Caenorhabditis elegans: one gene and its partners. The protein of the gene in region 2 purifies or fractionates together with the protein of the main gene of each other region. This does not show direct contact. Each region holds a gene or a part of one and is shown on either strand. Other genes may lie near its edges.

The links.
Region 1: the proteins of gdi-1 (region 2) and bckd-1B fractionate together in Caenorhabditis elegans (co-fractionation; one large-scale study listed by BioGRID). This does not show direct contact.
Region 3: the proteins of gdi-1 (region 2) and math-48 fractionate together in Caenorhabditis elegans (co-fractionation; one large-scale study listed by BioGRID). This does not show direct contact.

What each region holds. Positions count from the first base shown.
Region 1 is NC_003279.8:7,724,998-7,730,380, reverse strand, and holds bckd-1B (2-oxoisovalerate dehydrogenase subunit beta, mitochondrial), read right to left. Parts: upstream 3,115-5,383; coding exon 2,716-3,114; intron 2,670-2,715; coding exon 2,196-2,669; intron 1,861-2,195; coding exon 1,774-1,860; intron 1,711-1,773; coding exon 1,570-1,710; 3' UTR 1,289-1,569; downstream 1-1,288. Other genes in the region: F27D4.8 (Chromate transporter), read right to left, coding at 578-682, 1,030-1,179; F27D4.4 (Zinc finger CCCH domain-containing protein 15 homolog), read right to left, coding at 3,505-3,584, 3,903-4,017, 4,071-4,172, 4,259-4,402, 4,522-4,710, 4,762-4,844, 4,893-5,042, 5,091-5,352.
Region 2 is NC_003282.8:14,789,163-14,794,685, forward strand, and holds gdi-1 (Rab GDP dissociation inhibitor), read right to left. Parts: upstream 3,689-5,523; coding exon 2,650-3,688; intron 2,374-2,649; coding exon 2,120-2,373; intron 2,063-2,119; coding exon 1,976-2,062; downstream 1-1,975. Other genes in the region: melo-1 (RRM domain-containing protein), read left to right, coding at 244-352, 688-903, 986-1,071, 1,125-1,273, 1,328-1,501; coq-3 (Ubiquinone biosynthesis O-methyltransferase, mitochondrial), read right to left, coding at 4,048-4,245, 4,298-4,458.
Region 3 is NC_003280.10:1,944,150-1,949,211, reverse strand, and holds math-48 (MATH domain-containing protein), read left to right. Parts: upstream 1-2,684; 5' UTR 2,685-2,694; coding exon 2,695-2,807; intron 2,808-2,860; coding exon 2,861-3,138; intron 3,139-3,190; coding exon 3,191-3,317; intron 3,318-3,366; coding exon 3,367-3,694; 3' UTR 3,695-3,774; downstream 3,775-5,062. Other genes in the region: ZK250.2 (DUF281 domain-containing protein), read right to left, coding at 121-177, 222-264, 328-519; ZK250.14 (MATH domain-containing protein), read left to right, coding at 4,044-4,156, 4,210-4,487, 4,648-4,774, 4,824-5,062.

The DNA.
Region 1 (5,383 bases), on a different chromosome or scaffold from region 2:
ACACTGAAAATCACAAAACTGTTTAGCATGTTTGCACAGATTTCAAAAAATTTGGCCTTTTTTGCAATTTGTGCAAATACACCCTTTTTATGATTTTCAGTGTATTTGGTCATGGTGTGGTCATACGTGTAATTAGAAAAAATCATCCCCCACAAAGAAAAATAAGAAGAGTTGGGAATTACAGTACTTTTAAGCAAAACGGGCTCGATTTTTGAAACGAATTTCTGTCCGAATTGTGGCATCGATATAAAATTTTATTTAGTTTTCTCGTTTCGTTTTGCCATTGTTGTGTTTTGTTCCAATATTTTATCGACAAATAAAAGATTTCAGTAAATCGACACCAGTGCTACAGTAGTCATTCAAAGAGTTACTGTAGTTTTCGCTACGGGATGTTTTGAGCGTTAAATATGTTTCGCAATATACATTCCAAAAGTTAAGTGTTCACGTAATACGCTCATATTTACGTATGCTTCTTTTCAAAGTGTTATGCGAAAAAAATTCATAGCATAAAAAATTGTTATTTCGATTTGTACATTTTCACAGAAAAATTCAAATTTGGCAATATATAATTAATTAATCACATTCTGGAAAAAATGGCAGCATATCCCTTGATGGCAAGTGGGCAAGCGATGTCCGAGTAGAGACACATTGACAGGATTCCGAGGATGAAGATAATTCCGGCCTGAAAATTAAATTCAAAAACTGAAACAAAATTAGCAGTCTACAAGTTACTTAGTTTAGAAAAGATGCAATTTTGGGCCCGAAAACTTCATGGTTACCGTACCCGCAAGTTTCTCGCTTTTTAATGTTGCTTATATCAGTATTTCTTACAATTTGAGCTTCTTTCCAAATTTTCCAGTGATTGCAAAAAACATTGAACAGAAAGATGCAAATATGCGGTAGGAAGACTTGTGGGTACGGTAACTGGGATCTTTCGGTCGCTTCGAGATAAAGTATTGTATGTCAAAAATTGCAAAATTTTGGAACCGGGTAATATTACAGGTATCTGATGAAAATGAGAATATTAACCTGAACACTATAGACAGCAATACTATCAATTGTGTAATATTCTGGGAGCTCTGGGAAATAACTCTGAAGCCAGATGAGCACAGGAAATCCAGGAATAATTGATGCAATTGAGACAATGATTAGAAGACCCGCAGCTATTATATGGTTCATCCCGCTTTTTGAAGAGATCTGAAAATCCGCATTTCCCGTTTTTACAGGAAAAATCAAAAATCAAATATTAGATGAGAATCCAACGAAGAAAAAAGATGAAAATACTTTTAGAAAAATCAATTCATACATTTATTCATAAAACACATAAAAGAACTATAGCACACTGAAAATATCTAAAACGAGCAATTGAGGGAATGTTCGACATATAATGTCAAAAACCAACACATTTATGATGATGGGTTTAGCGATTTGGACCGGAATAAAATATGGGTGATTTAAAATGCAGATGGCACCGTTTGAACAGAAAATTAGGCTAAAACAAGAAAATATTCTACTTTTCTACACGGTTTCGTTGTTACCTTGTATAATTTCTTATATCAAATACATATTCTAATAGTTAACACTCTTCTTGATTGCGTCGAAAACTCGATGAACAGTTGGCAGGTAGAATGGTTCGTGAACGTGTGGGAATGGTGTATCGAATCCAGCAACACGATCTATTGGAGATTCAAGGTTCAGGAAGCAACGTTTCTGTAATATTTTTGATTGTTAATTTATTATTTGAAAAAGGAAAGTAAAATATAAATTATTTACCTGAACAGTAGAAGCAATTTCAGCTCCAAAACCAGAAGAAATCGGAGCTTCATGAGTGACAATGAGTCGACCAGTTTTTTGAACACTCTGAAAAATAATTCATATTTAATCACTCAACATCCAAATATTACGCGAACACAAACAAAAAACGCAAAATATCTCGCAGCGAAAACTACAGTAGTTCTTTAAATGACTTCTGCAGCGCTTGTGTCGATTTACGGGCTAGATCATTGATTTATCGATAGAATATTAAAATCCAAACGGAGAAACGAACTAATCGCAAAAAATTAATTTCAAGAATCGAGCCCGTAAATCGACGCTTCAGTAGTCACTTAAAGAATTACTGTACTTTGCGTTACGAGATATTTTGCGCGTCAAATATGTTGCGCAATACGCATTCGCAGAATTTTGTAATAATTCACCTCTACTACATGATCCTCGTCCCAAGGTTGAATCGTCTGAAGATCAATAACTTCAACATCTGCATTGAGCTTCTCCTTGGCCAATTGAGCTGCTTCAAGAGCAACATGAACCTGTGTTCCCCAGGCAACAAGTGTCAAATCTTTTCCAGAACGAACAGTTTCAGCTTGTCCCAGTGGAATTGTGTAATCTCCAGTTGGAACATCTTCAGAAGCCAATCGATAAAGAATCTTTGGTTCGAAGAAAATACATGGATTCGGATCACGAATGCACGACAGAAGAAGTCCTTTGGCTTGAACTGGCCCACGTGGAACAACAAGCTTTAATCCTGGGGTATGGGTGAAGTTAGCTTCAGGACTCTGTGAATGGTATAGAGCTCCATGTCCTACGGCTCCCCATGTTGTTCTTACAGTCAGTTTTCCACAGTCAAATTGATTTCCCGAACGGTATCTGAACTTGGCTGCCTCGTTGACAAGCTGGAATAATTTTTTTTATTTCCATAATATTTATTCCGGATATTACCTGATCATAAGCTGGGAAGATGTAATCACCAAACTGAATCTCAGCAATGGCAGTTGCTCCAGCCGCTGCGACTCCAATTCCGAATCCAGCAATTCCCTGCTCACAAAGTGGAGTATTGAAGACTCGATCTTTTCCGAACTTCTTTTGAAGATCCAAACTACATCTGAAGACACCACCAAAAGCAACATCTTCACCAAAAAGAACAGCAGAATCATCTGTTTCCATTGCAATTCTCATCGCTTCATTAACAGACTGCATCAAATTCATTTTAGTCTTTTCAAGATTTTCAAGTCCTGCTGGAAGTGTGGTTGATGGTTGAAACGTGAAGTGAGCTTTTCCTCGAGTTTGGGAGATTCTGGATCCACATTTTGAGAAGAGGCTTACGGCTCGGGAACTCATCTGAAGATCGCAATAATTTTAAAATAAACTTTTATAGGATTTCCAAGTTAATTAATTTTTTCAATCAAAAGTTCACGCATTATTTGAAGATTAAAATAAAAGATAAATGAATCGGGCAAAACCGATATTTTTTCAAAATTAAAATAAATCATCTGAATTGTAATGAATTTATAACAAAACGACACCAAAAAATGGAGAAAACTTCAAATAATAGTCCCTTGTAATTTGAAAAAAATAATCAAATACAGAGAAAATTGGGACTACCGGTTAGTCGTGACAAACAAGAAATAATAATAGATAGCAGGGGAATCGGGAAAAAAGAAACACTGAAATTCAAAGCAAAAACAGAAAAAGAACAGGAAAAAAGGGGGAGCACCAGAAGTATACTCTTCAATCCTCATCAGAATCGAGGTTTTCAACGTCTTCGTCAATGTCGAACAAGTCCTCGTTGATGTCCATCTTTGCCATTCCTGCAATTTTTGAAATTAGTTTTTGAGATAGTGTGTCGGCTCGCCACAAGAGACCCAGACACAATAAAGAAAACGTTTTTTTTTTTGCAAAACGTGTGTCTGTGGGAAAGGGAGAAATTCAATTGATTTTTGCCGAAAGATAACAGATTTTGAAGTGACAGCCAAAATGATGTTTGAATTTTTTTGTGTTGATAAGAATGAAATGAGGATATTGACAGCCAGAGAAAAGCCACGTGTCAAAAATAGTTTTTTAACAGAAAAATTAGCCATTCAAATTTGACGAAAATTGTTTTTTATTTACGCACTGAAAAAAATTACCTTTAGCAGTAGATTCAACAGCAGTCGAGGATTTGCTCATTTGATCCGTCAGTTCATCGTCCATTCCGTCGAATTTGAAGAAGTTGGCATCGATTTCAAATACCTTTTCATTCTCCTGAAATTATTTAAATTTTTGTAAAATTAAAATAATTAATTTCAAAAACTAACATCAACTTCTTCCTTCTCCATCTCAATATCTCCGGCCTCGTCGTCGTCGTTGTTGACCAGATTGGCGTCATATAAGAAAAGATCACGTCCAGACATTCCATTCTAAAAAAAGAAAACATTAATTTATGTAAAGAGACGAGAAACAGAAATTAAAGTAGTAAATTTAAATAAAAATTCAAATTTCTTACATGTTTTCCAGATTTGATCTTCTCTTTCTTTTCTTTCAAATCGGCTTCTTCTTTCTCTTTTCGCTCTCTTAACTTCTTCTTCTTCCAGGCAATGAAGGTTTGGAGTGTTAATTTTGTGAGATTTTTCGAACTCAAAGCGGCTCTCTGGAAATGTTAAACTATAATTCTTACGAAAAATTGGAATAAAATTTAATTTATGTGGTCTTTCAAATTGAAATAACTTTTAACAATGTTTTTGCCACTATTTTCCCCTATAAGTATACCTCTTTCTCAACAAGTTCCTCAATACTAATTTCATCTTCTTTTTGTTGCTCCATTGCTTTCCGTTCCTTTTTCAAAACATATCCTTCTGGTAGACAATGCCGATATTGACATTTTTCTCCTCCATTCGGACATTCCCAAAACCAACCGTACTTGTTGTTCTCTACAGCTTCCAAGAAGTACTTGCAAACCTTAAAATTCAATTTTTTAAACTTAAAAATGTCTGTCATGAAACTGCTTACAATATCAATCATATGTTTATTTTTATTTTTCTTATTGACCACTTCATTCAATTTGTCCGAGTCCCAGTTCTCGTTTGTTTCTTCTGGAATGCTTAGAAATTACAAAAAAAAACGTTTAATTTGGTGCAAACCGTCTTTTTCGACTTCTCTGCTGTCTGCATACAGGTTCTTCTTCGCTGTCTTCTGAGCAACTGCCAAATCGTGACTGAATTTGCACTTTGCTCCTTTTCCGCAAAGACCTTGTTTGAAGAATACACAGAGAAGAGATTTTGGATCGACATCTGAAAAATTCACAACAGTTTAATTTTTTTCGATCTAAAAGTGGCAACCTTTTGCGACTTTTTGTTCCACAGGTTTCAAAAGATTGGCAATATCGAGAAGCTCGTCTTTTTCTTTTTTTTTAGCTGCTTCTTGTTGTCGGACAAGATCCATACGAGTATTGTTGTTACGGACTTGATTTTCAACTTGTGCCACAAACTTCTGGTTTTTATTTCCTTTCTTGTTTTTCAATCCGAACGTCTTGTCCTCGATAACTTTCTCCTTGCGCTTTTGCTCGGACTTTTTACTAGGCCCTTGTTGCTTCGGCGGCATGGTTGCAGATCTTAATTTAAAGGTTTGCATA
Region 2 (5,523 bases):
AACTCAAATCTGAAATTTCGCCGATTTTCAAGAGTCACAACGGCCGGAAATAGATTTTTATCTGTAAAATAAAACAATAATCGAACAAAAAAATGAATTTATAACCGCTGCGACCAGGGAAAATTGCCGAAAATTCAGGGTTTAGTTAAAATTGGCCCATTTTTTCGAAATTTTTGGAACCGCCATAAAAGCTTTTCTTGAAATTTTTCGATATCTATTTAGTGTCAATTTTTGAATTTTCAGCCCCACAACCTGCTCAACCGCCAGTTCAAGTCAATTCTTATTATACCACTACACCTATTCAGCAACAACAGCAACAACAGCAACCAATACCACCACAACTCCCTACAGCGTAAGTTCATTACCCAGACGCCAAATTTTTTGAGAGTTTTGCTCCAAAAATACGGTTCGTGGTCTCCAAGCGACAGTTTTTTTTTTTGATAAATACAAACAGGTATGCGCCTTTAAAGTGTACTGAAATATTTGTCGATTTTTTGTTGAAAATCATTTTTTATTTTAACAAATCGTGAGAAAAACAATTGAAAGCACTGCTAGGAAATTTAGAAGCTACAGTACTCTTTAAAGGTGCGCACCTGTTTGTAAGTATTTAACAAAAATTTTTCGTGTCGAGACCCGGTACCATATTCCCCGCGGGGCAAATTTTCACGTTTGTGTAATCCGTTTTAGTCCACCACAACCACCACCGACCACGCCCCAACCTGCGTTTGTGCCCCGTCAAATTGGCAGAATCGAAATAGTTATGCCTTCTTCTCTGCCGGCTCCAGTGGTTTCAGCTGCTGCTGCTTCTGCTTCTGCCGCTGCTCACCCAGTTGCTATGAATGGGTCTGCTATCAGTGGTGGTTCAAGTATGCCCGACATTACAATGCACCCCAACACGAATAAGTATGAATTTCGAAATTCCCTGAAAAACTAATATTTATTCTCTAATTTTTAATATTTCCCTCAAAAAATCAATGTTTTCCAGACTCTTTGGTCATCTCAAAGCCTTCCAATCTGCTCTCCTCTCCACTGTCAAGTATGAGCCGCCAGCGAGAAAGGAAGAAGACGAAGGTAACCATTGACAACCGGCGGGGGCTTTTTCGAAAAACAATATATAATTTCAGCTGGATTCTCTACTCTCCGTCTCTCATCACTAGCCACTGAAGATGACTCGGCGGACGAGGAGAAGGCGATGGTGAGGGAGTTGAAGCTTGCGAAGCTCAACGATGAGCAAATGATGCGTTTCCATATTAAGAAGAAGCAACTCGAATCGGTAAGTTTTCAAGTTACTCATTGACTAATTTGAGTCAAATTTTCTATTTTTCAGGCTTTTCGCAACGATTGTGAAACATATGCGGTCGTCACACGTGCTCTTCTCGCTAAAGACGAGTCTCTACAATTCGGACTGAAAATGGCATTGCTCGAGAATATGGAGGATTTGTACAAAAAGATGATGCAACGTGTCGATGATCAGCTCGATGCTCTGCTTGTGATGGCTTAAACTGGGATTTTTTCTTTAATCAATTATGTAAAAACATATATGCTTATTCTTCTCCAATTTTCAAATGGAAATGATCTCCCTTCATCAAATGTAATCCCATCCTATCCAAACTTTCTGATCGTGATAATAATTGTATTTCTGTAATGAAGTACTTCAAAAGGATAAAGTGATTTATAGATTTACGAAGCGGACTTTGTTTGGGAATTGTAAAGTTAAATACAAAGGAAATAGTGGGAAGAAATTTTGTTTTCGGGACGAAAATTGAAATTTAAAAAAAGGGTTCTCGGGGAATCACATGAGGATAGAGACTGGAAAAGAGAAAATACAATAAATTAAAATCGGTTGAAAATGAACATTGGACAGGAGAAACAAACGGAACGGGAATCGTTTTTTTTATAGAGGCGACAAAAAAGAGCAAAAGCAGCATCAGAAGCGTCAAATCAGAGTACTCAAAAGAAGGGAATGGATATTCAATTATTCCTGATCATTCAACGACAAGTGAGTGATGTTGGTGAAGTCGAATTCTTTGGTCGTTCCACGTTCGAACATGTTGAGCACGTCCTGAAAAATGAATAATTATAATTTCTTTCAAAAATTGTTTTAAATTCTTTAAATTACCTTGCAAGTGGTTTCAAAGTGAGTCGTAGCATCATAAGATTGAGAGATGAAGATCTGTGACTCAGATCCCAAGTCAGATGGCTCATAAACATCGGAAATCTGAATGAACTTCTCGGCAATTGCGCCAAGAAGTTGAAGTCCTGGAAGAACTTCAGCCTCTGGATTGGCTGTCTCGACAGTGGTGGAGACCATTGCCAAATACCATCCCTTTGGTGTCACCATGTTCGTGTTGGAGCAGCATGAGATGTAGATGTCTGAAAAAAAGGGAATTAGTGATGCTGAAAGCGTGAGTTTTGCAAAAAGCAGCGAGTCGCACAGAAAAAGAGGCGGAGAGTAAATTGGCAAACCGGCGGCTCGGTTTTTCCTCCTTTTAATTTATTTTTCAATAAAGTTTCAATTTTACCTAATTCTCATAGGATCGTGAGACTATTTTAGTCTTCGGATAATTAAATTCGATAATATTTTCATTCAAACATTAACAAAAAAAGTAGGAAAAACCCGTGCCGCAAGATTGCAAAATTACGCCCTACCTCTTTTCTGTGCGACGCGCTGCTTTTCCAAGACTATAAATTTACCATAATGTCTTCCAACTTGCTTTTGTGGAATGATAATCTGGCAGGATTGAGCATCATTTGTATTTGGAATTGGATGGTTCAACAAACAAATGGCTCGGACAACTTGTCCAGTCTTCTTGACACGATCCTTGGCGTATGAGGGATCGCAGTAGATCTGCTTTCCACGGACAATCTCATCTCCACACTTGACTCCAATAGCCTTTCCATTCTCCATCACAATCTCGTCGACTGGCTTGTCGAGCATGTAGGTTCCTCCGTAGATGGCCGAGAGACGAGCGAATCCCTGTGGAAGTTCTCCCAATCCGTACAATGGGTACAAGTATGGTGACTTTCCATAACGAGCCAATGAGTCAGAGTACAATCGGATCTTCTCAACAGCTGGAGCGTATGGTTGATTCTTGTGCTCATCGTCACGGTAGAGGGCCAGCGCGTGTCCGGTGAAATCGGCGGTGTTCTCGTCAAGGCCAAACTTCTCGTAAACCTGCTGCATTGTGCTGTTGTGTGGGTCAAGTCCTTGCCAAGTGTCCTCCTTGTTCTCATCGAATTGTTGCACCCAGACGAGGAACTTCTTGAAGCGACGTTTCTCGAACATTCCCATAAGGGAAGTGGCAAGAGCCTCCATCTCATCGGCCGGCACCTTGTAGATCTTTCCACCCTTCACAACGAACGAGGCCTCAATCGACTTGAATTCCAAGTAGCGAGTGACTCCAGTATGGATGAGAAGCTTGACCAATGGCCCGTTGGCCATCAAAAACTTTGGAATCAAGTCGACGTTCCAGTCACGTCCACGTCCCATCTCCTGTTGTGGCTTGGCTTGTGGACCGTGGAATTTCTCGTAGAGTTGCTCAAGTGGAGTCAGTGAAGCTGACTCTCCTCCATAATAGTTGTTTCGGTCAATGTGGAGAACCTTCTTTCCGGAAACCGACAGCATTCCCGAGATGATGCACTCCTTGAGGCCGGTTCCGAGAACGATGGCATCGTATTCCTCATCCATTTCGAGCGAGTTTTTCGGGGAATTGGTTGGAACTCCTGAAAATTGATCGGATTGTGATTTGGAAAATTGCGGGGAAAGAGAAACTGAAAGAAAAGTTGAATTTCAAAAAGGAAATTTTAGAATTCAAGAAAATAATTATAAAAACTGAAGAAAGAGAGTGAGAGGGAGGGAGGGAGAGACGCAGAGAATAAAGTTGTTGAAAATCAGATATTTTGCGGGTAGATCAAACCCAATTGTTTGACATTTAAAAGAGTTAGGTCTCAAATTATTTTTTTTTTTGAAAATTAAAAAAAATAGCACCAGTAACATATGGAAACATGAAAAAAAAACTAGCAACACTAAACAAAAAATCTTCAAATCTAATTCTTCACTGCCAAAATTCCGTAATTACACTGAGTCGATTCGATCCATGTCCAGTGATTTCCAACCGGATGAAACATTAATCCATGCACCGCCGTCACCCGGCAACCCGCTTTTTCGAGATGTGAAGTGAGCTCGGCGGGTGTGATGAATTTTTCCCAGTCGTGGACTCCGGGCGGCACGATTTTGAGTACATTCTGAAAATTTTCAAATTTATTTCCAAAAAAAAAAGAAAGAAAAAAATCAAACCTCTGCAAGCCAAATAGCTGCCAATTTGCTCAGCCACGTTCTGTTGATAGTTGTGATGAAGAGCGGGGCACCGGGGCGAGCCAGCTCAGCGAGGCAGCCAATGAATCCGGGAAGATCGGCGACGTGTTCGACAATTTCCGAAGCGACGACTGCATCGTAGGCTGGAATTATTGAAGATTTTAAGGTAAATTGCTAAAAAATACAGAAAAGAATGGGGAAAAGATGTGTTGCGAAATATTTTTTAACTTTTGAGTAGATTGGAAGTAGAAATCAATAATTTTCGATTACTATTCAAGAGTACGTAGGAGTTTCACAGAACTTCATCAAGTCTACGCAAGAGTTTCATTTCATTTAAGACCTTTTCTGTGAAAGTTTTCAGTCAAGTGACTTCAAAATCGTAAACAACTCAAAAAATAGGTTATTCTAAATAATTTCACCAATTGATTCGTATAATCGCAGTAAACATAATAGTTGAAAAGATGACGTCAGCTGTCCTAGCGACACGTGGATCGAGCTTCAAATGGCCGAATCGCCGACATAGAATGACACGTGGCAACGACGAACACAGGGGCGCCCAGTTAGGGAATGTTTGTCATCAGAGACAGCAACAACCAGAGAGGGTCTACGAGATGATGCTGCTGCGTGTGAGTGTGAGTGAGAGTGAATTTGAGCGCTCATTCCCTTTCTCACTCACTCTCTCCGCGGTTAACCCCAAACGGGATGGCGGTCGAAATGAGCGTCCAAAATGGACTGAGAGAAGGGAGCGACGGCGAGAGACTGGAGAGATCAAATAACATCTGAGGACATCTGGGTTGGATCTAGTATTATTCAAGACTTCCGAACTGTAATAATATCCAGTTGAGACCTTCAAAATTGAAGTCTAGGACATCTAGAACTGAAAGTTCGAGAACCTACAAGCCATAGACGCAGACACAACCGGATGAGGGTGAGAACACGAGACGCAGAAATGTGGGGATTGTTGTGTTGGCCCACACATCGAAAAGGGGGGGGGGAGAGAGAGAGAGACACAACACCGAAGAAGAACAAAATCGATAAAATGTCCAAGAAGAGGAGAAGCCGGACGGGTGGAGGAGGAGAAGACGGCGAGCAAAATAGGGAAATAGAGAACAGAACAGAAGAGTTGAAAGCTTTGTATCCAAAATTATTCCAAGGGGGCACCGGAAATCGAATTGAATTGGGTTGGATCAACACTTTTTTCAACAAAA
Region 3 (5,062 bases), on a different chromosome or scaffold from region 2:
TCAGCTTGAAAAATGGAACCTATACATATATATGTATATGTGTATACATATGCTCAAGAGGGGGTGCTCTGGAATTGCCGGACAAGAACTAGTTACAATGGAGACAAAAAACCGACTCACTGTAGAATTGCAGTTTCAGATCTGGACATTCTGCTGAAATCCCTGGGCATACTTTTTCTGGAAACCAAATAATCTCAAGTGATACCCTTTTGATAGCTTACCTGTTACAGTTGAAACTTCCACTACAGGCGTTGTCATCATTTCCTACAAGCATCTGTTTATTGGCAACACTATCAGATCTACTTCAATCGAAGTATAACAAAATACCTCAGTCATGCCAGTCTCAGCATGTGTAGTAGGAGCAGCAGTCTCTGGAGCCAATGTGGTAGGCGGGTCCACCTCCGGAGCTAATGTGCTCGAAATATATACGTCCTTTCGTGGAACCATTCGCATACAACTTTCTGTTAAAACCGCCAAGGATGAAATAATAGAACACACGGATATAAAATAGAAGTTCATAGCGACTGTGAAGCTAAATGGCAAAATGTGTACTTATTATCCTCGGAATCGAAAATCCAGTTACTCAAATGTTTCCAAGTCTAGCGAAGCGATATGATAAGACTAGAAACAAATTGAACCAGACAGATCAGTTGATACAGGATCACATGAAGATCAACATAGTCCATCTTTCGGAAGACTAGACAAGCTTCTTGATAAGAAAACCAACAAGATAAGGTGATCTATCCGTGATACGGATCTTATCATGACAGGTGATGATCTAATAGCATACGACTAGATTTTCCCTAGGTCTGATTAGAAAATATTGCCCCCAGTTTTGAAGATTCACTCCGGAAAGTTCCTAAATTTCTGAGGTCCACATCAGAGATGGGCGGCTTTTATTACGCGTTTGTTTTATCTTCCTAGTAACGTTCAAAATGTAACTTTTTTGAACAAATTTTTTCTCTGAGTTTCAGATTTTACAAAGAGCGATCAGGTATTTTCATATTAATCACTGCAATAATCGGTTTTTTTTTTCGTATCGATTTTGAGACATTTTCACCCAATTGATTGACACTTCCTAGTGGGACGTTCTCACCTGTTACCCCATAGTGTGAAAACGTTCAGGTGAGAACCTTCAAAATAGTCATTTTGCAAGGTTCTCACCTAAACCTTTTCCCACTATTAACCGTGATCATCATCCCGGGAGTGCAAATCTGAAGAATCGATACCAAGCCATCCCATTCTATATCTCCCCATTCATTCTTCATTATTCTCCCAGCCATGTCTGCTCCGTCTTTCCCCATCCTCCGTCTTCCAGCGAAGGCCCTTCGTTCTACTCTTCAGAATTTTAAATTCGCGGATTTTTGAGTTTAACTTATATATTTTCTATGTTTACTAAAATAATAAATTACAGAATGAGTTTCTCCCTGATCTCTCCAACATCCGTAAAGCTTCTGAACATCGAAGCAGGAAATGTGTGCGTAGTTCTGGATCACCTTATGGGTATCATTGTTTGGTCTGCCAATGGATGCTGCAGGTTCTTATTCATTCCTCCTTCAGACGACGTTGAGGAGCACTTTACGAATTGGATATTGCTCAATGAAAGCTTTTCGATGAGACGTTGCGTTGAGAATTTGCTCGTCGCTCTGGATCTTCTGGAAATTGATATGTTGTTTGTTATGGATGAAGATGTGATCTATGACGAGCTGAAAGGAATCAAGTTGTGGAAGCTCGTGATGGGAGAGAACAACCCAACGATGTTCGATCTCTACTACCGTGACGCCATGAATATCAGCATTGCCGACAGAGCTCTCCTTGGTGAGCAGTTCAGGGCTCTAGTCTCCGAGAACTTGGATCGCCTGGAGTTTACTGCAGAATGTGTCATCGGACTTGACGATCTGCTCTCATGCAACGCTCAGGATCTTTAGATCTGAAAATCGAGCACCCATTCTCTTTATCTGATTTGAATCTGTTTCTCAGACATCTCATCAATGGGTCGAATCCTAGATTGGCAGAAGCTCATATTGCACTGGCAGAGGACAACCTTGAGAACTACAAAGAAGTTTTGCTGAAAGGTATCGAGTACCGGACGTCTCGCTCTTCCGATATCTACCAAGATGGATTTTTGATTAAAGACTTGGCACTTTGTCGCAACGATGGAGTTGAAGTATGGGCTTCCGTGGATCCAAGAAGCCAGAACTTCTACTTGTTTGCTGATCTGGATAAATCTCCATTTCGCCATAAGTGACGTTGTGCTTGCTCAAGAAATTAGTGAAAGTACACAACATTTTAGTCTTTTCTGTTAAAAAATTATATTTTACAACTTTTTGGTGTTTAATTTTTTCTATTGTATACTGGCTTGCTCCCTAGGTTTTATATTGCTAATATAATTTGTATCCCCATTTTTTTTCTCATCGATCGTAAATTGAATGAATGAACATTAGACGGAGAAAGTTATTGAAATTTTATCAGAAACCAAATCGATCAATTTTGCCATATCAATTTTGCCATTCTAGCGGTGAGGTGTCGGAAGCACGTCCTGAACAAGGAAGCTCCAAATAAAAACCCATCAACTTATTTATATAAATTAATTAAATACATAACGTGAAGTTTAAAAAAAACAACAAATGTGGACAACAACGTGGAAATAAAATCCACTTCGATTTTTCATCAATTTCAATTTCTCAAAGAAAAATGTCTACTTCCTTCAAAGAGTTTGCAATCAGCCAAACTATCCGGAACATCTCCAAATTTCTGAATGGAGAGCAATACTTCACTGATGTGGAAGAACGATTTAATATTCCATGGTTAGTTGATTTAAAGATTTAAAGATTCTTTGAATATAACTAACGTGTTACAGGAGAATGAGAATATGCAAGCTCAATGGTGATTTGGTATTTTATTTGCAATGTGACAAAGAAGAATGTGAAACCAGGAAGTTTTCTGTCGAAACAGAGTTCACGTTGAAGTTGGTGTCGCCTTATGGGAGAAGTTTGACCAGGAATAAGGTGCACACATTCAAAGAGCTGAAAATGGGAGGTTGGCACAAATTCATCAGTTGGGAGGAACTGGAAAATGACTATATGGTTGATGACAGTGTTATAATTGAAGCGTATGTCAAGATTATTAAAATTTCAAGTAAGTTGAAAAAAAGTTACTTTAGAGACCCAAACGATACTACTTATTCCAGATGTCCCGTGCATTGCTCCCAAGAATCTGAAAACATTTATGCTAAATCAAACTGTTAGAAATGTTTCCAACATTCGAGAAGGAAATAAATATCTTACTAACACTGAAGTTCGTTTTGGTATTCCATGGTTAGTCAATAAGAAGAGAGAACTCTACTTTAACAATCATATTTTTAAGGTGTCTCGTGATTAAAAGAAAGGATGGATTTTTCAAACTATTCTTACGATGCTATAAAAAAACGTCTAGAATCAATAATTGGTCCATTGGAGTTAAATACACGCTGAAATTGATGTCCGTGGATGGCCAGAGATTATTATACAACACAAAACACACTTATACAAATAATACGGATTGCGGCTGGGATAAGATAATCAGGTGGAAGGATATGGAGGAGAGATTTCTGGTGAACGACAGTATCATTATTGAAGTTTGCGCGAACATTGTGGAGATGACTGGATGTGAGGATGTAGATGATTTAAGCGAAGAGCTCTCTTTTATTATGTGATCACTATTGGAGGACACAATTACTCGGTGGAAATTCTCATGTGAATAAATTTTAATAAAATTAAAACTGTACCTTTCCAAGTCGCTCACAAATTCTGTAAATTGCTGCACTTTTTCATGACCAGTGTTTTATTCGAGAAAATTATTATTCATTTATTAGGCTTAAAAATTGATTATTCAAATATTAAATTAAATTCATACAAAGTAATCCATTTTATAATATGCACGGCATATTTCAACAAACGTGACGTTTCTAAAAAAAATCCAGCGTGTTTTAAAAAAACAACAAATGCTAGCGTGGAAAAAAAATCCACTTCGATTTTTCATCCATTTCAATTTTGCAAAGAAAAATGTCTACTTCTTGCAAAGAGTTTGCAATCAGCCAAACTGTCCGAAATATCTCCCAATTTCTGAATGGAGAACAATACTTCACTGATGTGGAAGAACGATTTAATATTCCATGGTTAGTTGATTTAAAGGTTTAAAGATTCTTTGAATATAATCAATGTATTACAGGAGAATTAGAATATGGAGGCACAATGGTTATCTGGTATTATATTTGCAATGTGACAAAGAACAATGTGAAACCAGAAAATTGACCGTCGAAACTGAGTTTACATTGAAGTTGGTATCACCTTATGGAACAAGTTTGGCAAGGAATCAAGTGCACACATTTGTAGAGCTGAAAGGGAGAGGTTGGCACAAATTTATCAGTTGGGAGGAACTGGAAAGTGACTATGTAATTGATGACAGTACCATAATTGAAGCGCATGTCAAGATTATTAAAGTTACAAGTGAGTTGGAATAAAGTTGAGATACCAGACTTTGCATGAGGCTGAACACTAATTAATTCAATTTTGTTTTTGTGAGTCAAGACGTAAAAGAGAAAGTTTTCGCTTTGAGACCAATTTTTGGGCATCAGCAGGAATGATAAAAATATACTAGTCATTACAGATATCACGTGCATTGCTCCCAAGAATCTGAAAACATTTATGCTGAATCGCAGTGTTAGAAATGTTTCCAACATTCGAGAAGGAAGTAGATATCATACTAACACTGAAGTTCGTTTTGGTATTCCATGGTTAGTCAATTAGAAGACATAACTCTATTTTAACAATCATATTTTTAAGGTGTCTCGTGATTCAAAGAAAAGATGGATTTTTCAAATTATTCCTACGATGCTATAAACAAGCGTCTAGAATCAATAATTGGTCTATCCGAGTTGAGTACACGCTAAAATTGATGTCAGTAGATGGTCAGAGCCTACTATTCAACACACAATACACTTTCAAAGCTGGATATGATAGCGGCTGGGATAAAATAATCAGATGGAATGATATGGAGGAGAGATTTATGGTTAACGACAGTA